Linked DNA regions of Macaca fascicularis. The protein of the gene in region 4 interacts with the protein of the main gene of each other region in a pairwise test. Links are inferred from orthologs where the notes say so. Each region holds a gene or a part of one and is shown on either strand. Other genes may lie near its edges.

Region 1 (6,380 bases), on a different chromosome or scaffold from region 4:
CTTTTTTGTACTTTAAAGCCTTGTTAAGAAATCCAAACCCAAACTAATATGATATGAATATTTTTTACCTAGATTTATTTTGTCTCTTCCAATTCAAATATTTCAAATTCACTAACAGTTTGAATCTTCATTTCAATTTCTTACGAAGTTCTTGCTTTGTACTCATCTGATGGAAGGCTATTTTACCCAGGATAAGACCCTAAATTATTTTCTGCTTTAGAAATAAACAATACAAGATTTAAGCTAGTAAATAGGGTGTATTTAAAGAAAACTAGGCTGGGCGTAATGGCTCATGCCTGTAATCCTAGCACTTTGGGAGGCCAAAGCAGGTGGATCACTTGAGTTCAGGAGTTCCAGACTAGCCTGGGCCACATGGCAAAACTCCATCTCTACCACATATACAAAAATTTAGCTGGGCGTCATGGCGGGTGCCTGTAGTTCGAGCTATTTAGTAGGCTGAAGCAGGAGGATTTCTTGAGCCCAGGATGTCAAGGCTGCAGTGAGCCAAGGTCCTGCCACTACACTCTAGCCTGGGCAACAAAGTGAGACTTTATCTCAAAAAACAAAGACAAAAGACTAGCTAAGGTGGGCAGATCTCTTGAGCCAAGGAGTTCCAGACCAGACTGGAAAACATGGCAATATTCCGTCTGTACAAAAAAATTACAAAAGAATTAGCCGGGCTATGGTCGCCTGTGCCACTGGTCCCAGCTACTCAGGAGTCTGAGGCAGGAGAATCACCTGAACCCAGGAAGTCAAGGCTGCAGTGAGCCATGACAGTGCCACTGCATTCCAGCCAGGGCAATGGAATGAGACCCTGTCTCAAAAAACATAAATAAATAAAATTAAATTAAGAAAACTAAAGAGTGACAGCAAAGCCCAGAGCATTATAAGACTCTTCCTCCACAACAGGATTATCAACAAAAGTAGTTACAGAAAAAATTACTTAAGAAATTAATAATTTCCAATGTGACCACTTAAGTTTCATCATAAAGTAAATATTTGAAAAACTTATAAGGTTCTCCAGAACTGAAAATGGAGGGATAGCATCTTTTTTATCCTTTTTAAAGAACATTTTCAGAGAGAATAGTGTGATAAATGCACTATATTTTCGACCCAGATTCAGCAACACTTTTTATTTTTACTTTATGTTTTGATGGTGTCTAGATTTAAGTTACATATATAATGACATTAGCTCTTAATACTTTAGTTTGCATCTCCAAATAATTGAGAACATTGTCTTACATAACGATACCATTATCACAGCAAAAATAGCAATAACTCCATTAATATAACATTTTGACCAAATAAATGAAAAACCAGAAAACACAGATTACATTTCCATGTCATTATAGCCACTAATAAAGATTTTTAAAGAAACTGTGAGAAAAACAAGAGCTATAATCATGCATGCAACTACAATACAACCAAAAATCCACAAAAGATTATGCAAAAAGTACCATCAGCTTGCAAAAAATAACTAAAAATTAGAAATTTAAAATAAATTGTTTTATTCTATGTTAAATCCAAAGCTATTTCGAAAGTTCTCAATTTCCCCCATATTCTTACCAGTGTCATGAACTTGAAAATTGGGGATAATCGGCTTCAGAAATTTGAACTCATTTGTCCCGTAACCTCCTGTCAGACACACCTCGTACTGGTAGCTCTGGGATAGGGTCCCGGTGCCGCTCACGTCCACCAGATGTCCTGGAAAGGGGCCCTTGGGCACCGAGCAGCGACCCACCGAGGCAGCTCTGCTCCTCCTGAACAGCCGCACCGCCACGAACAGGAGCACCGACAAGAGGAACAGCGACGACACTGAGGCCAATGCCACTACCAGGTAGACGGTGAGCGAGTCGGCCTGGGCCTGGGCGGGGACCGCCTCAGGGAGAGGCAGGTAGGGCTGCGAGAAGCCGTCCACCAGTAGCACGTGCAGCGTGGCGGTGGCCGAGCGCGGAGGCTCGCCATTGTCCTTGACCAGCACCACCAGCCTATGCCTGGCCGCCTCACGTTCGCTCAGCAGCCTGGCGGTGCGCACCTCGCCATTGTGCGCCCACACACCGAACAGCCCGGGCTCCGTGGCCTTGAGTAGCTGGTACGACAGCCAGGCGTTCTGGCCCGAGTCGCCGTCCACCGCCACCACCTTGGTCACCAGGTAGCCCGGCTCGGCCGTCCGGGGCACCAGCTCGGTGCAGGGAGCGGAGCCGTTCTGCAGAGGGTACAGCACGAAAGGCGAGTTGTCGTTGGCATCCAGCACCAGCACGCGCACCAGCGCCTCGCTGCTCAGCGCCGGGGAGCCGCGGTCTGTGGCGCCCACGCGGAACTCGAACTCCTGCAAGGCCTCGTAGTCCAGCGAGCGGAGGGCGAACAGGTGGCCGTTGTCTGTGTTGATGGAGACCAGGGAGGAGAGGGGCAGGTGCGGGTCCTGGGACGGCAGCAGCGAGTAGGTGACCAGGGCGTTGGTGCCTGAGTCTCTGTCTGTGGCGCTGACGCTGCCGATGTGCAGGGCGGGGCTGTTGTTCTCGCGGACGAACAGGGTGTAGGAGGTTCTGGTGAAGGCGGGAGCGTTGTCATTGACGTCGGAGACCAGCACGGTTATGTTGTACTCGGTTTTCAGCCTGGGGGTCCCCAAGTCTGTGACGGTGATCGTGATGTTGTACTCTGCTTGGCTCTCTCTGTCCAGTGCTTTTTCAGAAACTAGAGTGAAAAAGTTCTTGAAGGTCGGTTTCAGGAAAAAGGGGAGGTTATCTTGAATAGAGCAAATCATCCTCCCATTGTCTCCAGAGTCTTGGTCTACTACACTAAAAAGAGCTACTAGAGTCTCTGAGGCATTCTCTGGAATTCTCTTTGTAATCGATGATATGGTCACTTCTGGTGGATTGTCGTTTATATCCATAACTTTAACTAGAAGGGTGCATTTTCCTGAAAGACCCCCACCATCTGTTGCCTGAATATTTATAGTGTAGGACTGTATCACTTCAAAATCCAGGGGTGATCTCAAATTAACTTCCCCAGATATTGGATTAATTTCAAATGTTTTACGAATATCTTCTGATGCATGGAAAAATGTGTAAGATATTTTCCCATAGTTTCCTGCATCCAGATCCTTAGCTGAGATGGTGACAATCCAGGAGCCAATGGGTCTATCCTCGGGGACTTGCACCTCATAGAGACTCTGAGGAAACTCAGGGGCATTATCATTGATGTCCAACACCTTAATGAGAACCAAAGTTGTCCCAGACTTGGGCGGGGATCCACCATCCAGTGCTGTGAGTGTTAATCTGAGTTCAGCTTCCTGTTCATAATCTAAAGCTCTATCTAGGACCAGCTCTGGGTATATCTTTCTGTCACTACTGTCTGGAATTTTAATGTGGAAGTGAGAATTGGGGCTAATTGTGTAGTTTTGGAGACTGTTGCTTCCGACATCCAAATCTTGAGCACTCTCCATTAGGAATGTAGTTCCAATAGTGGTACCTTCTGATATTTTAATAAGTATTTCCTTGTCTAGGAATGTAGGGGAGTGATCATTTATGTCTTTGACATGCAGCTCAACCCGAAAAAACTGTAAAGGGTTTTCCAAAACCACCTGAAAATGCAGCACACAGGGCTCGGTGGAGCCACACAGCTCATCTCGGTCTAGTTTCTCATTTAGGAGCAAATCCCCAGTCAGCAAATCAAGGTGCAAATACTTTTTATTATCATCAGACACTACCCGGGCTTCACGTGAAGACAGCTCCTCCACCCCCAGCCCTAGGTCCCTCGCTAGATTAGCCACAAATGAGCCAATTTCTGTTTCCTCTGCCACAGAATAGTGTGCAGATTCAGTATCTGCCCGAGACAATCCCAGCAAAACAAGGAATATTAGAACTTGCCTTTTTCGTAGATCGAGTGACCCTCTGATCTCCATGGTTCCTTTAGGCAACCTCTTGTGGAAAAATTGAAGCTCAGCCCTAATTTTGGAAGCTGAAGCTCTGGTTTTTAATAGGAACCCCCTGGACAGTGTATCCTCCAGCAGCTCTGTAGGCAAAGCTCCTTTAATGCCTGTCTTTTCAGTGGGTTGGATGCTTTCTGTTCTGAATAGCGAAGCTCACTGTGCCAGCCTATGTACAGTTTTCGTCTTATCCTGTAGCGCCACCATGTGTCTCTATGCTTTTCTTTTTTTTCTTTTTCTTTTTTTTTTCATTAAAAAGTTTTCCTCTTTGAAAAAGTAAATCATAAATACATCCGGAACATTCAAAACAAATCCCAGACAACATTTTTTTTTTACCTTTAAATACTTTACTAAGTATTTCTAATAGATAAGGCATTCTAAAAGATAATTGCAACATAACGTTCACAATCAACAACTTGAGCAATAATTCCTCGATGTAATTTATCCTGCATTTGGTTTTCCCCAGTTCTCTCCAAAACGTCCTTTGCTGATGGTTTGTTTGAATTTGAATCCAGAAAATGTCTATACACTGCATTATCACTGTTTTGAATGCTCGACACTAAAGGATCTGTTAAAATATTCTGAACTGAAGAAATAATTTTTTATTTAAGTCATTTCTTGAGTAATTACAAATATATTCTCTCTTTCACTCTTGTAAATACTTGTTGTCAATCATAGTAATGTCATTACTTTTTTCACTTTCATATTTTGAAAATACAAAGAAGGACATGGCACAAATAAGCTAGAGATAATCCTTGCTCTTATGGAGCTCACAAGCTAGAAAAATTGGCAGACAAGTAAATGAAGTATGTCATAATGTATGCATTTGTAAAAAGTAATATAGAAATATCTAGAAAGGGCTTCTTGTACCTATGGGCTGCATACTTTAGTGCTTAGGAATATGGGATCTGGAACCAAATTATCAATATTAGAATCCTGGTTATGTAACTCACTATAAGCTTGGGCAAGTTATAGATATCTTTGTTTCCTCACCTGTAAAATGGGGTAATAATAATATTTGCCTCCCATGATTATTATCATAGGCATCTAGTGAATTAATATTTACCAAGTGGTTTGTAAGTGCTGGTTAAGTGTCTGTCAAAAATAAAATAATTAAGATCTAAATAGGACTTGGGACATCAGTGAAAGCTTTCCTGACGTAATGAATAATACATTGTGATCTGAAGGAACTAGCCAGGAGAAGGAGGAATATTTCAGATGGGCATTTTGAGGAACACAGAGAAGTGAAGTATGCCTTGGACTTTAAAAACTGTGGAAAGGGAGGGTCTAATAATGAAATTAGGGTTGAAAGCAGGGTGAGAATGTGAATCATTATACAGGTCATATCATGCGTTCTTGCATTTATCCTAAATGTAATTCAAGTACAAAGATGGGTTTTAAATGTCTGATTAACATGATCACATCTGCATTTAAAAAATCAGTTTGGCTGAAGTATGGAGAATTAATTTCAGGGGGAATGACTGGAGAATCAAGGAGATCAGATAAGAGATGATGGTAGTCTGGAAGAGGATAATGCCAGTGCGGATACAGAGAAGAGGGATGAGTAGAAAGGTATGAGGAGATGAAATATTTTCAACTGTTGGTTGATAGGTTGCATGGGGAGAAAAAGGGGAAAGACTCAGAGATGATATCACACCTCCGGACTGGGAAACTCGATGACTAGTGGTGTCATTTGCTAGGACAGGGAATGCTAAAAAAACATGATTGGGGTGCAAAAAGATGAAGTGTCAGTTTTGAACATGCTGATATTGAGGTAAGCGCCTGTAGGATGTGTGTTTGTGTGTTTGTGGTGTGTGTGTGTATGTGTGTGTGTGTGTGTGTGTTTGCCTATAACCAAAGCATAGGAAATAAACCTGGGCTGACGATATGAACTTTGGGATTCATCAGTATATATGTGTATATATATATATGGTGATTGAAACCATGAATGCTCTAGGATAACCAAGCAGAAGTGTGTCAAATAAGTATAGAAGAGGCTTGGCACAGAAGTCTGAGAAACATCTTCATTTAGAGGAGACAGGGCAAGAAGCATATCTGAAAAGATAAAGAAGGCTCAGAGTTCAAAACCATGAAATCAAAAGCAAATAGCATTTTAAGGAGACGAGGAAGATCGACAGCTGCAAATGCCTCAGAAAAGTCAAGAAAAATAAGCATGACAATTATCCATTGGACTTAAAAAGATGGTCATTGTGGAGGATTCTGATAGATGTCTGACAAAATCTGTTTTCCCTTGCTTCTATAGTAATAGAACTGTACCCAGGTATGTGGCCATGAAGGTAGATTGTGCATCCCAGCCTCTCCTGTATTTGAGTGTGGCCAAGTGAATTAAGTTCTCACAGATGGATTGTGAGCAGAATTTCTGTCTGCCTCTTCCAGTTATAGAACAAAAGTCATCTGAATGACTCTTTCTTCCAAGCGAGCTAGAACCCAG
Region 2 (4,526 bases), on a different chromosome or scaffold from region 4:
AAAAAAAAAAAAAAAAAGTCTGTGGGCTCCTTTCCAGACTGTAAGCATCTTGAGGATGGGGATTGTCTGTTATTTTACTTGTATTCCAAGTTTCCAGAAAGGTTCCTCATGGAGGTATGGGGTATGTTCAAGACTGTGAAAGAATGAATGAATTATAGTAGTTAATTTCTTTTGTTACTAATGTTGAACATTGGTAATTAAAGAGTGAACTACAATCTAAACAACATAAAACTTTAAAAGTAGTTAGATCTGGCGTCGTGGCTCACACCTATAATCCCAGCACTTTGGGAGGCCAAGGCGGGCGATGACCTGAGGTCAGGAGTTTGAAACCAGCCTTGAGCAACATGGTTAAACCCCATCTCTACTTAAAATAAAAAAGTAGCTGGGCATCATGGCTGCCGCCTGTAATCCCAGTTACTAGGGAGATTGAGGCAGGAGAATCCCTTGAACCCAGGAGGCGGAGGTTGCAGTGAGCTGAGATTGCGCCATTGTACTCCAACCTGGGCAACAAGAGGGAAACTCTGTCTAAAAAAAAAGTTGCGTTGTTATTTCAGGTGGAAATATTTCATTAATTAACCTTGACCTTGTTGATTTCTTTTTTTTTTTTTTTTTTTTTTGAGATGGAGTCTCGCTCTGTCGCCTCGGCTGGAATGCAATGGCACGATCTTGGGTCACTGCAAGCTCTGCCTCCTGGGTTCACGCCATTCTTCTGCCTTGGCCTCCCGAATAGCTGGGACTACAGTCGCTCGCCACCATGCCCAGCTAACTTTTTTGTATTTTTTTAGTAGGGATGGGGTTTCACCGTGTTAGTCAGGATGGTCTCAATCTCCTGACCTCGTGATCCACCCGCCTCAACCTCCCAAAGTGCTGGGATTACAGGTGTGAGCCACCGCTCCTGGACTGACCTTGTTGATTTCCATACAAAGGCATTTCAGTTGCAATTATTCCCTTAGAACATAGGCATATAGTATAGCTACCTTAAGGGAATGTAATATGTCAAGACCTAGATTTAGGAAATAAAAATAATGAGAATCCTCACGTTGCAGAAGTACTCACTGCAGATTTCTGTGTGACCACAATAATACCTGACATGATTTTCTGTGCTCACTACGTTTGTATTTATACTGATCTTGACCTATAAAATTATGGTGCCCAGGAGAGAAAATTTTCTCTTTTCATGCTTGCCAACATTTAAAAAATTAAAGAGTTGTATATATACGATGCTACAAAGCATGGTGATTAACAAAGGTTTTGTGTTGCTATTTAGATCATCCAGCGGGAGGTATTCACTACGAGATGTGTACAGAATGTCCACCTACTTTCAGTGACAAGAGAGAACAAACATCAGAAAGTCCAACAGAAGCCACAGATATTGGTAATTTCTTTAATAAATAATTTTTAGTAAGTAGTTAACACTGGCAAGAATGAGAAAAGCTCATTTGCCATTGTGAAGTGACACTTGCCAAGAATAAAGTATATGATTTTCCAAAGTTGCTTGAACTAGTCATGAAATAAATGAAGCACTTAATTCTATTTCACATTGAGATTAAAAACTAAAATAGAAAACTGCAGTATATTAAAAAAATCTTTTGTGTTGGACAGACTAAATTATCTTGGATGTTTTTCTTACATTGTGATAAAATTGGTTTATTTTCAGCATAAGATTTTTAAAAGAAGCAATCATTTTCAGTTACCCCAGATAAATTTACAATCGTTTTGCATTTACAGAGTTTTGTTTGGCTTAAATTCTAAATTCCCTTGTGGAAATTTATTTGTTCCAGAAAATCAGAATGTCTGTGGACATGGTTTTTAGTAGTTTAAAAGTATTTCTGAACACTGACTAGTTACTGTGGTATTTTCACTGTAGGTTTTGGTAATCGATGTGGAAAACCCAAAGGACCCAGAGATCCACCTTCAGAATGGACATGATTCAGGGAGCTAAAAGACACTTTTAAGTTATACTGGAAAATTCAGGTGCCACTGAAAGCCAGATTTATAGTATTCCATCTTTAATATGTGGGACTAACAGCAGTGTAGATTGTTACTTTAATATTTTTTGCTGGGACCATCTACCTGCCTTATACTATACTTAGGAAAAAGTATTACATATGGTTTATTTTGAAACTTCAAGTATTATTGCCTTAACGTCTCTTAACCCTGTTACACGCTGCTTGTAGACATGTTAATATAGTAATACTTTTATGATATATTGAGTTTAAGGACTACTCTTTTTCTGTTTTATCATGTATGCATTATTTTGTATATGTACAGGGCAAGTAGGTATATAATTTGATAAAGTTGCAATCGAAATATTATTAACAGAAGATGTAAGAAATTTCTGCATGGTCTAAATCTTTGTGTACTTTATTTGTAAATTATTTGCCCTGGAGTTTTAGAAAATAGTTTCTGAATTTTAAACTTGCTGGATTCATGCAGCCAGCTTTGCAGGTTATCAGAGATCAAAGATTGTAATAATAATACATTTTGTAAATTGTAAGCAAAGTTATTTTTATATTATATACAGTCTAATTGTTCATCCTAATTGTTCTTGTTTTCATCTAGTCAGAGATTCAGTAAGTGCCTTGGAACAATATTGAATTCTCTTAGCTTGTGTGTGTTTCTTTAATATTTGAACTCAACTGGGATTAGAAGACTATCAAAATACATGTATGTTTCAGGATATTTGACCTGCCATTAAAAAAACAAACAATTTTACAGCGCCTACTTGTTGCCTTGGCTTTTCATTTTTCATTCCTAGGAAATTGGACTTAACTATCAGCCTTCTTGCTGGCTCAGTCTTGGTAGGAAATGAATGTGAATGGGGTTTAATCTCTTTTTTTTTTCTTTTTTTAGACAGTATCACTCTGTCACCCAGGCTGGAGTACAGTGGTGCCATCTCGGCTCACTGCAACCTCCACTTCCCAGGTTCAAGTGATTCTCCTGCCTCAGCCTCCCAAGTAGCTGGGATTACAGGCACCCGCCACCACGCCCAGCTAATTTTTATATTTTCAGTAGAGATGGTTTCACTGTGTTGGCCAGGCTGGTCTCAAACTCCTGAACTCAGGTGATCCGCCCACCTTGGCCTCCCAAAGTGCTGGGATTACAGGCATGAGTCACCATGCCAGGCCTAATCTCTTAATTAGGGAATAGCGAGTACCTTCTGCCAAAAACATGGCTGTGCCAATTCTAAATACTTATTGCCCCTAGGCATTCCTCATCCTTATCATTACTAGCCTACCAAAGTCCTAGTAGAAAGCCCAACAGAGGGGGCCAGATGGGGTGGCTCACGCCTGTTATTCCAGCTCTTTGGGAGGCCAAGGAGGGCAGATCACTTGAGGTCAGGAGTTCAAGACCAGCTTGGCCAACATGGTGAAACCCCTTCTCTACTAAAATTACAAAAAAATTAGCTGGGTGTGGTGGCACATATCTGGAATCCCAGCTACTAAAGAGGCTGAGGCAGGAGAATTGCTTGAACCTAGGAGATGGAGGTTGCAGTGAGCCAAGATTGCACCACGGCACTCTGGTCTGGGCAACAGAGCAAGACTACATCTCAAAAAAAAAAAAGAAAAGAAAAAGAAAACCAAACCAAGGGGATGTTGGGAACGAAAACTGGTTTCTTATCCCAAGACTGGAGCACAGATTCCATTCCTCAGTACTAAGTCTGAATTTTGACAACTGTAGATTGGAGTTGTTGGATGTCTGTATTTTCCCTCTGCATATGAAAGAATGAAGAAATTATGAAACTAAAGTACATGGAAAACCTTATATGAGTAGAAGGGGGATTATTGTGGAGGAGAAAGTAATACTACAATTTCTTGTTAAATTTGTTTTAAAGCTAACTCATCTTCATGTTGATCCCTTAGATTTCTTTTTTTTTTTGAGACGGAACTTTGCTCTTGTTGCCCACGCTGGAGTACGATGGTGTGATCTTGGCTCACTACAACCTCTGCCTCCTGGGTTCAAGCAATTCTCCTGCCTCAGCCTCCTTAGTAGCCGGGCTTCCAGGTGCCCACCACCAAGCCCAGCTAATTATTTTTGTATTTTTAGTAGAGATGGTGTTTTGCTATGTTGGCCAGGCTGATTTTGAACTCCTGACCTCAGGTGTACCCGCCTCAGCCTCCAAAAGTGCTGGGATTACAGGTGTGAGCCACCACGCCTGGCCAATCCGTTAGAATTTGAAAATATTCTGTATGCTTTGGTAATAAGGAAGTGGTAATACAGTGGATGCTTGACATTCTCAAGACACAGGCACTCCTGTAATAGATCTTTTCCTAATACAATGTAAACTGAAATAAAAGCATAACTGAAAAAAATTTTAGCCCCTTCACACACTTGATGAGTTATTGTAGAGTACTAAAATCATAAGGATTTTTGTGGTTGGGATGGAGTTTCTTGGAATACCTTCACTGAAGTATACATGTATTCAGAAGTAAGCAAAAATCATATTAATTGCCAGGCGCGGTGGCTCATGCCTGTAATCCCAGCACTTTGGGAGGCCAAGGTGGGCAGATCACCTGAGGTCAGGA
Region 3 (6,363 bases), on a different chromosome or scaffold from region 4:
GGGGTAGCTACTCTATGTTCACCTTATCTTATGAAAGTGCCAATTTACTGAGCATGAGAAGAATACACAATTGACCATTCCCCTACCTGCTTCTTTTCTCTTGCAACATATGGATTCAGTAATGTGACCGTGTCCTCCCTCCTTCCCCTCTGACCGGCTTTTCCCCTTTAAATACTGAAGCCTTCAAAACCATGTTGAGAAAAAGGCACAAACCACAGATTGTTCCTGTGGTTCTGTGTTCCTTTTTGTCCTTAATGTTGATGAAATAAACTTCTAAATTGATTGAGACCTATCTCAAGTATTTTTTTGGTTTACAAAGGTAAGAAGTGAAGATTTCATTTCGGTTCTCTCGCAGTCTAATACCTGAAAGACAAGCACTGTAAAAAAATTCACCATCAGCCCTTTCAGGCTTTTTTCTCACACATACCTTAAGAACAACAGAGTATGATACAGTATACTGGTATACCCGTAGCATAGTATAAACACAGTATCATATATAAAAAGGACTAATCCTATAGATATTGTTTTGCAATTTACTCTTTTCATGTGATTTTCCAAAAGCATCTTTCCATGTCTTACTTTTAGGCCTATGTTATACTATTTTGATGCTTATGCAATATTTCATAATATGAATATACTATAATTTTACTGGTTTGCAATTTTTTATTACAAAAATGATACAACAAACGTCCTTGAACAGCATTTTAAAACATCCGTGCTTTCATATGTGTGGGATAGATGTCTGAAGTTAAAATCACTCGGTGAAAAAAAGACAAATTTTAAAGTTTGGTGGAAATGAAATTCCTTTCCCCAGAAGGTGTTGATTTATATTCCCTCTGATGTTGTATGAAGGTTCATTTCTCCACACATTCATGTTAATAATGTAAATTATCATTTTTCCTAATTTTGCCAATCTGATGGTGAAAAATGGTATTTTATAGCTAAGATATATGCATATAATTCTGGTGACATTGGACTCCTCTTGCGGGTTTGATATTTCTTCTGTGAACTACTTCTTCTGTAAGCTGATCATTTATATCCTTTGCCCATTTTAAAAACTATTTTGTATTGATTGATAAGAATTATTTCTATGTTTTGAATATTAATAATTTTATACATATCGCAAGTATTTTGTCATGCCTTTTCATTTTGTTCCTTATTTCTTCATCTGCACATAAATCTTACTTCTTTACATCATCAATTGTGTTCATCCTTTCCTTCTTACTTTGGATTATGTGTTATATGTAGATAGGCCTTCCATACTCAAGCTATAAGAATATCTTTCTGTATTGTCCTTTTAGCATTTTAATTAATTAATTATTTTATTTTATTTTATTTTTTTTGAGACAGAGTCTCACTCTGCCGCCCAGGCTGGAGTGCAGTGACACCATCCTGGCTCATTGCAACCTCTGCTTCCCAGGTTCAAGCACTTCGCCTGCCTCAGCCTCCTGAGTAGCTGGAATTACAGGCACACGTCACCATGCCTGGCTAATTTTTGTAGTTTTAGTAGAGATGGGGTTTCACCACGTTGGCCAGGTTGGTCTTGAACTCCTGACCTAAGGTGAGGAGGTCCGCCTCGGCCTCCCAGAGTGCTGGGATTATAGCTGTGAGCCGCCACGCCCGGCCTCCTTTTAGCATTATTGTAGTATTTTTGCATTTAAAATTTTAATTCAACTGTTGTGCATTATTGTGGAAGATGCTCATACAACCATGAGGTAAATATTTGGGCTTCCTTTTACCCAGTAATAGCAAACAACTGCTTTGACTTAATTTCATTTCCTTGGCAACTTTCTGACAGATAATATCCATATTTGTACTTAGAGTTGAAAAAGAAAACAAGCACCTCTTTTACAGTTTTTACTCACTGTGACCTAAAGAATTGTAACGCTGAAAATGTGCTTTGGAAGTCTGTCATGGTTATTCCTCTTTTTAGGCATCTTTTCAGGGCACATGCATCTCTGCATCATTGTCTCTTTCCTTGTGTCACAAATTTCTGTTCTCTTTTTCTCTCCCTCATTTCTTTTTCTCCTAATCTCTCCTTTTTCTTAACCACCTATAATGTTAATCACTTTAAATGCTTTTGACTCCTTTGTTTTGGTGGTTTAATTGTATTTCATAGTCTCCATGCTTCTTTGTTTTGGAACAAGTTTCTATTTACCTAACTGTGAATTTCACTAGGGTTGTAAAATGTACCCCGAACATAGGATTTGGGGATTGCAAGCATTTACAGCTGATACTTAATTTCTTTCTTTTCATCACAAAAACGATTTTAGAACATGAAAAATATCTTTGGAGAAACAAAAAAATCAATTTCCTAATCATTTTATGGGCATACTTTTCAATATTTATAATCATATAGGATAAATATTTGCATTCTGCTAATGGCTTGGCTTGTGAACATTTACCTATATTTCTCTGTGGTCTTGTTAGGGACAGTATACCTAAGTGGATAAAAGGCTGGGAGGTTGAATTTGGCTTCTTGTTTACAAAAGACTGATCCTTATTCATCTACTTAGCCTCTATGTTCCTTTTCTCTTTCACTGAGATGAGAAAATCCATCCATCCCAATTTTTTGTGAGGATTAAAATGCGGTAAGAAAACACACACTCATAAACACATCTGCTTTGGTAAAGGAGCACATCAGAAGGGCTGGCTTGTGCGCGCTCTCGCTCTCTGTGTATGTGTGCTGTGTTTTATGTTACTGTAAAAGATGTAAAGAGAGGCACGTGGTTAAGTTCTCGGGGTGTGGACTCCACCAGTCTCACTTCAGTTCCTTTTGCATGAAGAGCTCAGAATCAAAAGAGGAAACTAACTCCTAAGATGAGCCTTCCATGTAAAATTGTAACCAGCTTCCTTCTAATTTTCAACGTTTCTTCCAAAGGTAAGTTGGTGGATGGGTCTCCACTGTCACGGTTAGAAGCTTCTTCTTCGGAGACCCTGAAGTAAGCATAAGAGCCAAAGAAGTCCCAACCCAACTTTCCCTGGAGGTGACTCTCAGTAACTCTTTTGCTTTTTCTAGGTGCAGTCTCCAAAGAGATTAGGAATGCTTTTGAAACCTGGGGAGCGCTGGGTCAGGACATCGACTTGGACATTCCTAGTTTTCAAATGAGTGATGATATTGATGATATAAAATGGGAAAAAACTTCAGACAAGAAAAAGATTGCACAATTCAGAAAAGAGAAGGAGACTTTCGAGGAAAAAGATGCATATAAGCTATTTAAAAACGGAACTCTGAAAATTAAGCATCTGAAGATCCATGATCAGGATAGCTACAAGGTATCAATATACGATACAAAAGGAAAAAATGTGTTGGAAAAAACATTTGATTTGAAGATTCAAGGTAAGTGTTCATTCCCTTAATTGCTTTATTTCAGTGTGGGTGCTATTTGGCAAGTTGGAAAATAGCATTTATAATATTCCCCAACGCTGACCTCTGCCTCCAGGGGGGCTGTACAGGAAATCAGATGCATGTCTCCTGCGCCAGTGGAGACTGTGGTCCAATGATGGAATGGGATCCACACATCTGATAGACACATCTGAAGTCTACCTGCCTACAACTCTCTCTTCAGGTGGTTACAGGAATGTGAGGCTGGGTGAAGAACCTGGATTAAGGTGGCATTAATCAGGAGAGGGACACAGGTGGGCAGAGAGAAAAGGCAACTGTTCCAGGTTGCTGATGAATGGGCAAGTTAAGAGTGGGGCGGGAAAAGGCTGACTGGAGAGCAGCGGGCCTTTCATCGACAGAGCCCATTTCAAGCCAGGCTGCCCTGAAGGAGGAGTTATATGGCAGAAAAGGCCTGGAAACAACATATTTAAAGATGAACAGCCCTTGTTTTGGATCTGCTTGTCAGAGCGATTCAAGGTGATAGGTGATTTTTGCTAATATGTGTAGAAGATGCACAAGGTGTGGCTTTATTTATCTCTACCTGTACTGGGAGGGCAGGAGTGGATATTGAGGATGGGGTTAGGGAGACTAGTCAGAAAGCTGCTGCTGTGATCCAAGGGAAGTGAGGACCAATTAAATCAGATGTTTTTGCATGCAGCCTGGGTATCATTAGGTTATAAAGCTCCCTGGGGGATTATAATGAGCAGCCAAAGTCAGTCACCACTGGCCGAGACCAAAGGGTGCCTGTAAAATGGGAAGAATGAGGATAATAAAGGTCAGGCATAGAGAAAGGTGGCTTGGGCAAGGGAGAGAAGGAAGAGAAAGTGGAATCGAAATGCCATTGAAGTTGAAAGCCCAGGGGATGCTGGGGAGGGAGTCATAAGAAGGAAAAAGAAGAAGCTGCGCTTGACTTGGGGAGGCAGACAGGAACCCCAGCATGAGCACAGGCCAGCCATTCAGTGAGCAAATAAGCATTTCTGTGCTTCACACAGAAAATGTCGCCAGAAGCAGGGTCCCCTCCTTCTTCCTCTCTGTCTCCAGCCCCGTCTTCAGCACCTGGGCCTACCAGCAATCCCAGATAGTGTCAGATTGCCCAGTCCAGCAATCCCAGACACTGTCAGCTCCCCTGCAGTGACAACTTTCCACACCCTAGTCCTGCAACCCTGAGTGGGAGCACCTTGTAGAAATGTAGCGGGGTTGAGCATGGCGCTCAAAAGGGCCCCTGATTATGGGCTCTGGAAACCACAGATCTCAGGACTCCAAACAGCACAAAATTTGAGTGTCCTGTTTTGAGTGTGAGCCCTACGCGGGAGACCATGCTGGTGTTTTCACATTTGGGTCGCATTTAGCATTGCGGTGGAAATAGTGGCTACCAGCTAGGGGTCAGGTGCTTGCTTACATGATCTTACTTAAAGCTCCCAACAATACTGAGACATAGCTGTTATTATCTCCTTGTTATATGTAAGAAAACAGAGACCTAGTCAGAAGCAGCTTGTCCAAGGTCTCATTGCTTGACAGGAGCAAAGTCAGGATTCAAACTCAGAGGTCTTTTTGGCAAGGATGATGACCTTTTCTCTTTTTTTCCAAGCAGCTTCATTGAGATAACTCACCTAGCATTCAATTTGTCCATATACTAAAATGGCCTTTAGTATATTCAGAGTTTTGTAACCATCACCACAATCAACATTTTCATTGCCCCCAAAAGAAACCCTTCACCCTTTAGCCTAAAGACAGCGACTTGCTTTGTGTGTGTGCACGCCAATGTCATACAACATCTTGATTCAACTTGTAGTTGGGCACTATTACCAGACTTGAGGTCACCATGGCCTTGGGCAAATTCCCTATCTGCTCTGAGTCTGATTTTTGAATGACAACTTCAAGGGATATTCAATGAGACAATGTGTGTACAAGTGCCCTGCAGTGCCTAGGGCACAATACCTGTTTGCTCAGTGCTAATGCCCTCCCACATCTCTTTGTTTCTCCAAGCTTCTCTTTGTTGTTTTTTGTGTGTGTGTGTAAGATGGAGTCTTGCTCTGTTGCCCAGGCTGGAGTGCACCAGCATGATCTCTGCTCACTGCAGCCTCTGCCTCCCAGGTTCAAGTGATTCTCCTGCCTCATCCTCCCAAGTCGCTGGGATTACAGGCGTGTACTACCACGTCCAGCTAATTTTTGTATTTTTTTTTTTGCGGGGGGGGGGGGCGGGGACGGAGTCTGGCTCAGTCGCCCAGGCTGGAGTGCAGTGGCGCGATCTTGGCTCACTCAAAGCTCCGCCTCCCGGGTTCACACCATTCTCCTGCCTCAGCCTCCCAAGTAGCTGGGACTACAGGCGCCACCACCACGCCCGGCTAGTTTTTTGCATTTTTAGTAGAGACGGGGTTTCACTGTGTTAGAGATGCCATGTTGGTCAGGCTGGTCTCAAACTCCTGACCTCAGAGGATCTGCTTGCATCAGCCTCCCAAAGTGCTGGCATTACAGGTGTGAACCACGGCACCCAGCCTCCAAACTTCTCAAACTCCAGTAGTTGTGCCTGCATTTCCTTCATGAGGGAGTTGCTGCTGCAGGCTGAAGAGGCAGTGGAGGGCTCCTTAGAAACATATGCTGGTAGGGAAGGGGTTAATCCCAGCAACTCAGAACTAAGGAGTTCTCAACCATGGAAGGCCTTAGGTTGGATCGGTTCTAAGATGCTATCTTAGTGAATGTATACGGAGGTACCACTCCACAACTCCCGTCACTGCGTTGTTCATGTTAGCGAAATGCTAGAACAGTCAGCAGTCAGAAATTTATTAATCAATTAAATTAAGAATGCATCCTTTAAAAAGATGGAGATATGCATTTATTGATGTTCATTTAAAAAAGAATGTCATAATATAATTTCACAATAAAGGGAAAAAGGCAGACTATAAGATCACATAAACTAGTTTTAATTTTAAAAATATTACATATATATATAGAGAGAGAGAGAAGGAGAGAGAGAGAGA
Region 4 (4,454 bases):
GATGAGCTCCCTGTCACTAGAGATGTTAAAGCCCACTGGGATGCCCATTCCCCAGAGGTGGCGGGGCAGGCATCGTGCAGGAGGTGCCAAGAGAGTCTCATCTAGTCCTCAGTCCTGGGGAATTCCAGGGGAATTCTCTCTCTCTCTCTCTCTCTCTCTCTCTCTCTCTCTCTCTCTCTCTCTCTCTCTCTCTCCTCTCTCTCTCTCTCTCCCCCTCTCTCTCTCTCTCCCCCTCTCTCTCTCTCTCCCCCTCTCTCTCTCTCTCCCCCTCTCTCTCTCTCTCCCTCTCTCTCCCTCTCTCCCTCTCTCCCTCTCTCCCTCTCTCCCTCTCTCCCTCTCTCCCCCTCCGTCCCCCTCCCTGTCATGGTGGAGCTACCAGAGGCAGGAAGGAGCAGAAAGGAGTCCCCCTATCTCCTTTGCGTGTTCAGGGCCACCTCTTCCCAGAAACCTTGGTGACATCTCTGTGCACTGGGACATTTCCTGTAAAGTTCTTAAACTTTCTGGGCCGTGTGGTCCCCTTACTGGGTCAAGAGTTCCTTGCATGGAGCAGACTGAGGCTTTGCTCCTCTGATTTGAGGGCAAATCCGGCCCTCCCTAGGCCTGGCACAGAGCTGTGTCCGTAGAGAGCAGTCCTCAAAGGGTATGGATGAGGAGAGGCCGAGCAGTTCGCAATCCAGATAAAGACAGTCCGCGGGTAACAGCAGTGCCCTGCAGCAGCTCGTCAGCATGGTCCCAGCAGAGGAGGACCACTGTGTCCCCCCTCCCACCCCTTACAGTCCTGCACCTGCCTGCCTCCGAGGCGGGGTGGGGATCCCAGGCGGGTGTGGGGTGGGCCGACTTGGCCACCCCCAAGACTGAGGGCCAGGGGCCCTCTCCCCCACACCCACTCCCAAATGTCTTTGGCATGGATGAAGCCTATCATGGTTGGAGCAGGGCTTGGCTAGTGGTGGAAGTTATGTTCCTGGGACCAAAAAGAGAAAAGGACTGAAGGCCCCCCTGTGGCCCTCTCTGCCTGGGCTCTGGAGCCCTGCTCTGCCAGGGTTGCCATGTTGACAGGAGTGTCACGGACAACAGTGGCTTCCCCAGGCCCCACTTGGCACCCATAAGCCACAAGCCTGCCTTCCTCGGCTTCCACCATGGCCTCTCCAACAGATCCATCACTAGCTTCCTGTTTCCAGACTGAGTCCTCAGAATATTCCTGGATGTACCCCCAACCTCACCTTTGCCCACGCACTTGCTCTGCTCTGGCCTTTGCTGCCCGGCTGTGGACCTGCTCAACTCTCTGTCCCCAAGACGCCTGCTCTCCCCATTGCAGCCCTGCTGAACCCCTTCTTGCCCCTGCCACATCCTCCTGCAACCCTGTATCCTCTGTCCAGGTGTGAATGTGTCTCCCTGGCGGTCTGGGAGCTCCTAGTAACTGGGGCCAAGCCTCTTCTCCTCCAACTATAGCGGAAGCCTTGGCTGAGTTGGGGAGCTCCGCCGTCCAGGCTCCTTCCCTTGTTCCTTTACCTCCTCTGAACTGAGCACTCAGACCCTGGAGCAGGAGAAGGAGAGAAAGACCCCAGCACACCAAGGAGAACAGAACGCACTCCTTTATTCTCTGGGAGACAGGATGTCTCTCAGGGCTGGGGACGCTTGGTTCTGGGCCCCAGCAAGGCATGGTCAGTGCTGGGAGCACTGCTGGCTCCACTGGCAGGGCAGGTCCGAGGGGGCTCCTGGCCCTTCTTCAAAGCTTCTCCAGGTAGGAACCAGGGACGAAGCCACGCTGCCCATTCCTCTCCACGGTCCACCAGCCATCCTCCCCTTCCAGGATCACCTCCAGGATGTCTCCCGCGGAGAGGTCCAGCTCATCCGGGTTCTGGCCAAGAGATTGAAAGCACATGACGCTAGAAGGGCCTGCGGGGAGGGGTGTGGCCTGGTGTTCCCCCACCCAGCAGTAAATGCGGCATGCCGAGCTGTGTCCCTGCCTGCTGGGGCAGCCCCTTGGAGACACAGGATGGGGGTAACCCAAGGGACCTGGCTTCCCATCCACCCCAGTTTGTCATCATAGGCCTCCCCCAACCTGGGTTTCTTCCCCACCCGTACCTCCCCTCTCCCACTCTGGAGACACAGTGACTGGAGCATGTCAGGGGCCAGGGGTATGCATCACACCCCAAGCCCAGGACACACGCCCAAGCTTACCTAACAGCCTCCCCTTTGTGGTCCCCAGCCCCAGGTAGCAACTGCCATCCAAGTACCCCGTCACTCTCCTGACCTGGCTTCCCTACCTCCCCGAGCCCTGGCCTTGTCAGTGGAGCCCACACCCAGCCTGCCTGGCCATGGGGGGTGCTTAGCCTTAGTCCAGTGGATGTGAGGCCTGGGTATGCACCCCTTCCCTCAAGCAGGGAGCAGAGTGGACCTTCTCTCATAGCTGCCCTGTGGCTGCCTTGGTACATCCTCACCCTATGCACATCAGAAAATCAATCCTGGCACGATTGCAAGACTGATTCTGGCCACAGTTTTCCACACCCATGGCCACAGAGGACAGGGCCCTGACCCAAAGGCGCAGAGCCTGGCCCTCAAGCTATGACCTGCAGGCAACCCCAGGCTCTGCCAGCTCCCCGCACGTGTGTACCACGCAGCGCCCAGCCTGTGTGGACGGCACAGGCCCATGTGCCCCACATGTGTGCTGTGTACAGGCCCCGGCAGACACAGGCCTGCTGCACACCAGCTTCCAGTCAGTACATGCACGCTGAGGCCCCCCAGGCCCTGGGTGCTGTTCTCAGAGCTCATGCCCGAGCACACTCCCAGGTGCCCTTGCTAGTGTGGACATAACTCTCGGGCACATGTGCCCTCCTGAGCAGGAGAGGATGCTCGAAGATGAGTGAAACCACCAGGAGAGATGAGGATGCGAGGCACTGAATGGGGGAGGGAGCGCTCAGGTGCAGGGGAGGTGGCACAGGTGGGTTTAGGGTGTGGGGGCCTCACCTGCGCTGTATAGTCGTAGAGCGCCCGGTACTCCTGGGCTGGTGAGGCTGGGTTTCCCTGCATCTCCTGCACTGCGATGGCTGCGTAGACACCCTCATTCCGCTCAGGGGTGGGGGTCAGGGTCTCTGTGGAGGCTGAGAGCAGGGTGAGGCATGGACCCCTCCCCTTTCTGGGGACACTGGCCCCTGGAGGTTCTGCTAGAACAGGGTTTCTCCATGCTGGGCCCTGCCTCTTCCTTCCGCTCTCCATACTTGCTTTTGGGGGACACACCTTTCCCCTTGAGGGGCCTCAGTGGCCCCATCTGTGCCACGTGGGAGACCTTTCCTTCCCCCCTGGATCAGTGTGTTCGGGAGTCCCCTCCTGACCCCCTTTACCAGCAGAAGCTGCCAACGAAGTGGTCTTGGGACTTCCGTGCAGCAGTCCAGAGAACCTGGGGATGGGGAGGAAAGAGGGTGAGTGCCCCCGCTCCACACTCAGGGTGCCACCGGGAGGAGGGTTTAGACACGGAGAAGTCTCAGAGCTGCACACGCTCTGCCAGGGCTGGGGCTGCCCCTAGCCTCCTGGCATGGATGTGATTTATGAGGTGCCCCTCAGGCAGGAGGGCCCCCAGAAGGTGGTCCCGGTGGCTCCTCCTTCCCCAGCTGTGCCCTCCACTGGCGCCCTCTGCAGCACCTGCTCCCTGCAGGGCCCTTTGGGGGGATCCTAGAACCCCCAAAGCTGCAGCTTCATGGGAAGACTCCCATGGCCCTTTTGGGGGTTCTAGGACCTCCATGCTGAGGCCTCGTGGGAAGACACCCAGTCCTTACCCTCCAGACCCCTGCTCTAGCTTGCCCTAGCAGCTTCCCCGGCCAGTAGGGGTGGGGGTGCACTGCCACACAAAGCCTGGCTCACGTGCCCTGCTGAGGCCTCCACTGCCTGGGCCGAGCCAGCCCTCCTCCCTGTGGGCCCGCAGTGATCAGGCCAGCTCAGCCACCCTGTGCACAGGAGTTCTGGGATAGCGCTGGGCTACTTTATCCCTGCCCCGTGCCAGGCTTAGGCCTGGACTGAGCTGGGGTTGTGAAGGTTTACTGAATAAAGGAAAATAAAACAGAAGAGGCAGATGCTGGGGGCACCCCCTGAAGTTGGCAGTAGTGAGGGCTCAACAAGTAGAGGCTGACACTGCCTCCAAGGCCAGAAGCCTTCTTGGTGGGGTGGGGCTGAGTCTTCAAAGGTGAGTGAAGCTTTCCTAGGAGAGAAGGGGAACGAGGCACTGCGGGTGACCAGGAGAGGGAGCACTCAGGTGCAGGGGAGGAGGCACGGCACAAGTGGGGTTTGTGGAGTGGACCAGACCAATTTGGGTGTGGGGGGGACAGGACTGAAATAGGGACTGGACCAGACCCTGAGGGACCTTGAATGCAGGTGAGGGGCTGAGCCATGACTCAGGGGCCTGTGGGAGGCAGCCCTGCAATTCAAGGTGGCATGTGGGGGACCTTTCCCACATGAGGGGC

The links.
Region 1: the proteins of PSTPIP1 (region 4) and PCDHB14 interact in binary tests that used the Homo sapiens proteins (3 or more experiments, as listed by UniProt). The two-hybrid records come from large-scale screens. The link is inferred for Macaca fascicularis from reciprocal best matches to the Homo sapiens genes PSTPIP1 and PCDHB14.
Region 2: the proteins of PSTPIP1 (region 4) and PTPN12 interact in binary tests that used the Homo sapiens proteins (3 or more experiments, as listed by UniProt). The link is inferred for Macaca fascicularis from reciprocal best matches to the Homo sapiens genes PSTPIP1 and PTPN12.
Region 3: the proteins of PSTPIP1 (region 4) and CD2 interact in a two-hybrid assay, tested with the Homo sapiens proteins (2 studies listed by BioGRID and IntAct). The link is inferred for Macaca fascicularis from reciprocal best matches to the Homo sapiens genes PSTPIP1 and CD2.

The regions. Positions count from the first base shown.
Region 1 is NC_088380.1:147,691,310-147,697,689, reverse strand, and holds PCDHB14 (protocadherin beta-14), read right to left. Parts: upstream 4,073-6,380; 5' UTR 3,905-4,072; coding exon 1,508-3,904; 3' UTR 1,106-1,507; downstream 1-1,105. UniProt on the Homo sapiens protein: Potential calcium-dependent cell-adhesion protein. May be involved in the establishment and maintenance of specific neuronal connections in the brain.
Region 2 is NC_088377.1:143,832,997-143,837,522, reverse strand, and holds the end of PTPN12 (tyrosine-protein phosphatase non-receptor type 12), read left to right. Parts: intron 1-1,267; coding exon 1,268-1,375; intron 1,376-1,867; coding exon 1,868-1,929; 3' UTR 1,930-2,722; downstream 2,723-4,526. UniProt on the Homo sapiens protein: Dephosphorylates a range of proteins, and thereby regulates cellular signaling cascades. Dephosphorylates cellular tyrosine kinases, such as ERBB2 and PTK2B/PYK2, and thereby regulates signaling via ERBB2 and PTK2B/PYK2.
Region 3 is NC_088375.1:117,642,923-117,649,285, reverse strand, and holds the start of CD2 (T-cell surface antigen CD2), read left to right. Parts: upstream 1-2,757; 5' UTR 2,758-2,820; coding exon 2,821-2,881; intron 2,882-3,019; coding exon 3,020-3,340; intron 3,341-6,363. UniProt on the Homo sapiens protein: CD2 interacts with lymphocyte function-associated antigen CD58 (LFA-3) and CD48/BCM1 to mediate adhesion between T-cells and other cell types. CD2 is implicated in the triggering of T-cells, the cytoplasmic domain is implicated in the signaling function.
Region 4 is NC_088381.1:54,335,329-54,339,782, reverse strand, and holds the end of PSTPIP1 (proline-serine-threonine phosphatase-interacting protein 1), read right to left. Parts: intron 3,398-4,454; coding exon 3,342-3,397; intron 3,102-3,341; coding exon 2,968-3,101; intron 1,859-2,967; coding exon 1,727-1,858; 3' UTR 1,577-1,726; downstream 1-1,576. UniProt on the Homo sapiens protein: Involved in regulation of the actin cytoskeleton. May regulate WAS actin-bundling activity. Bridges the interaction between ABL1 and PTPN18 leading to ABL1 dephosphorylation.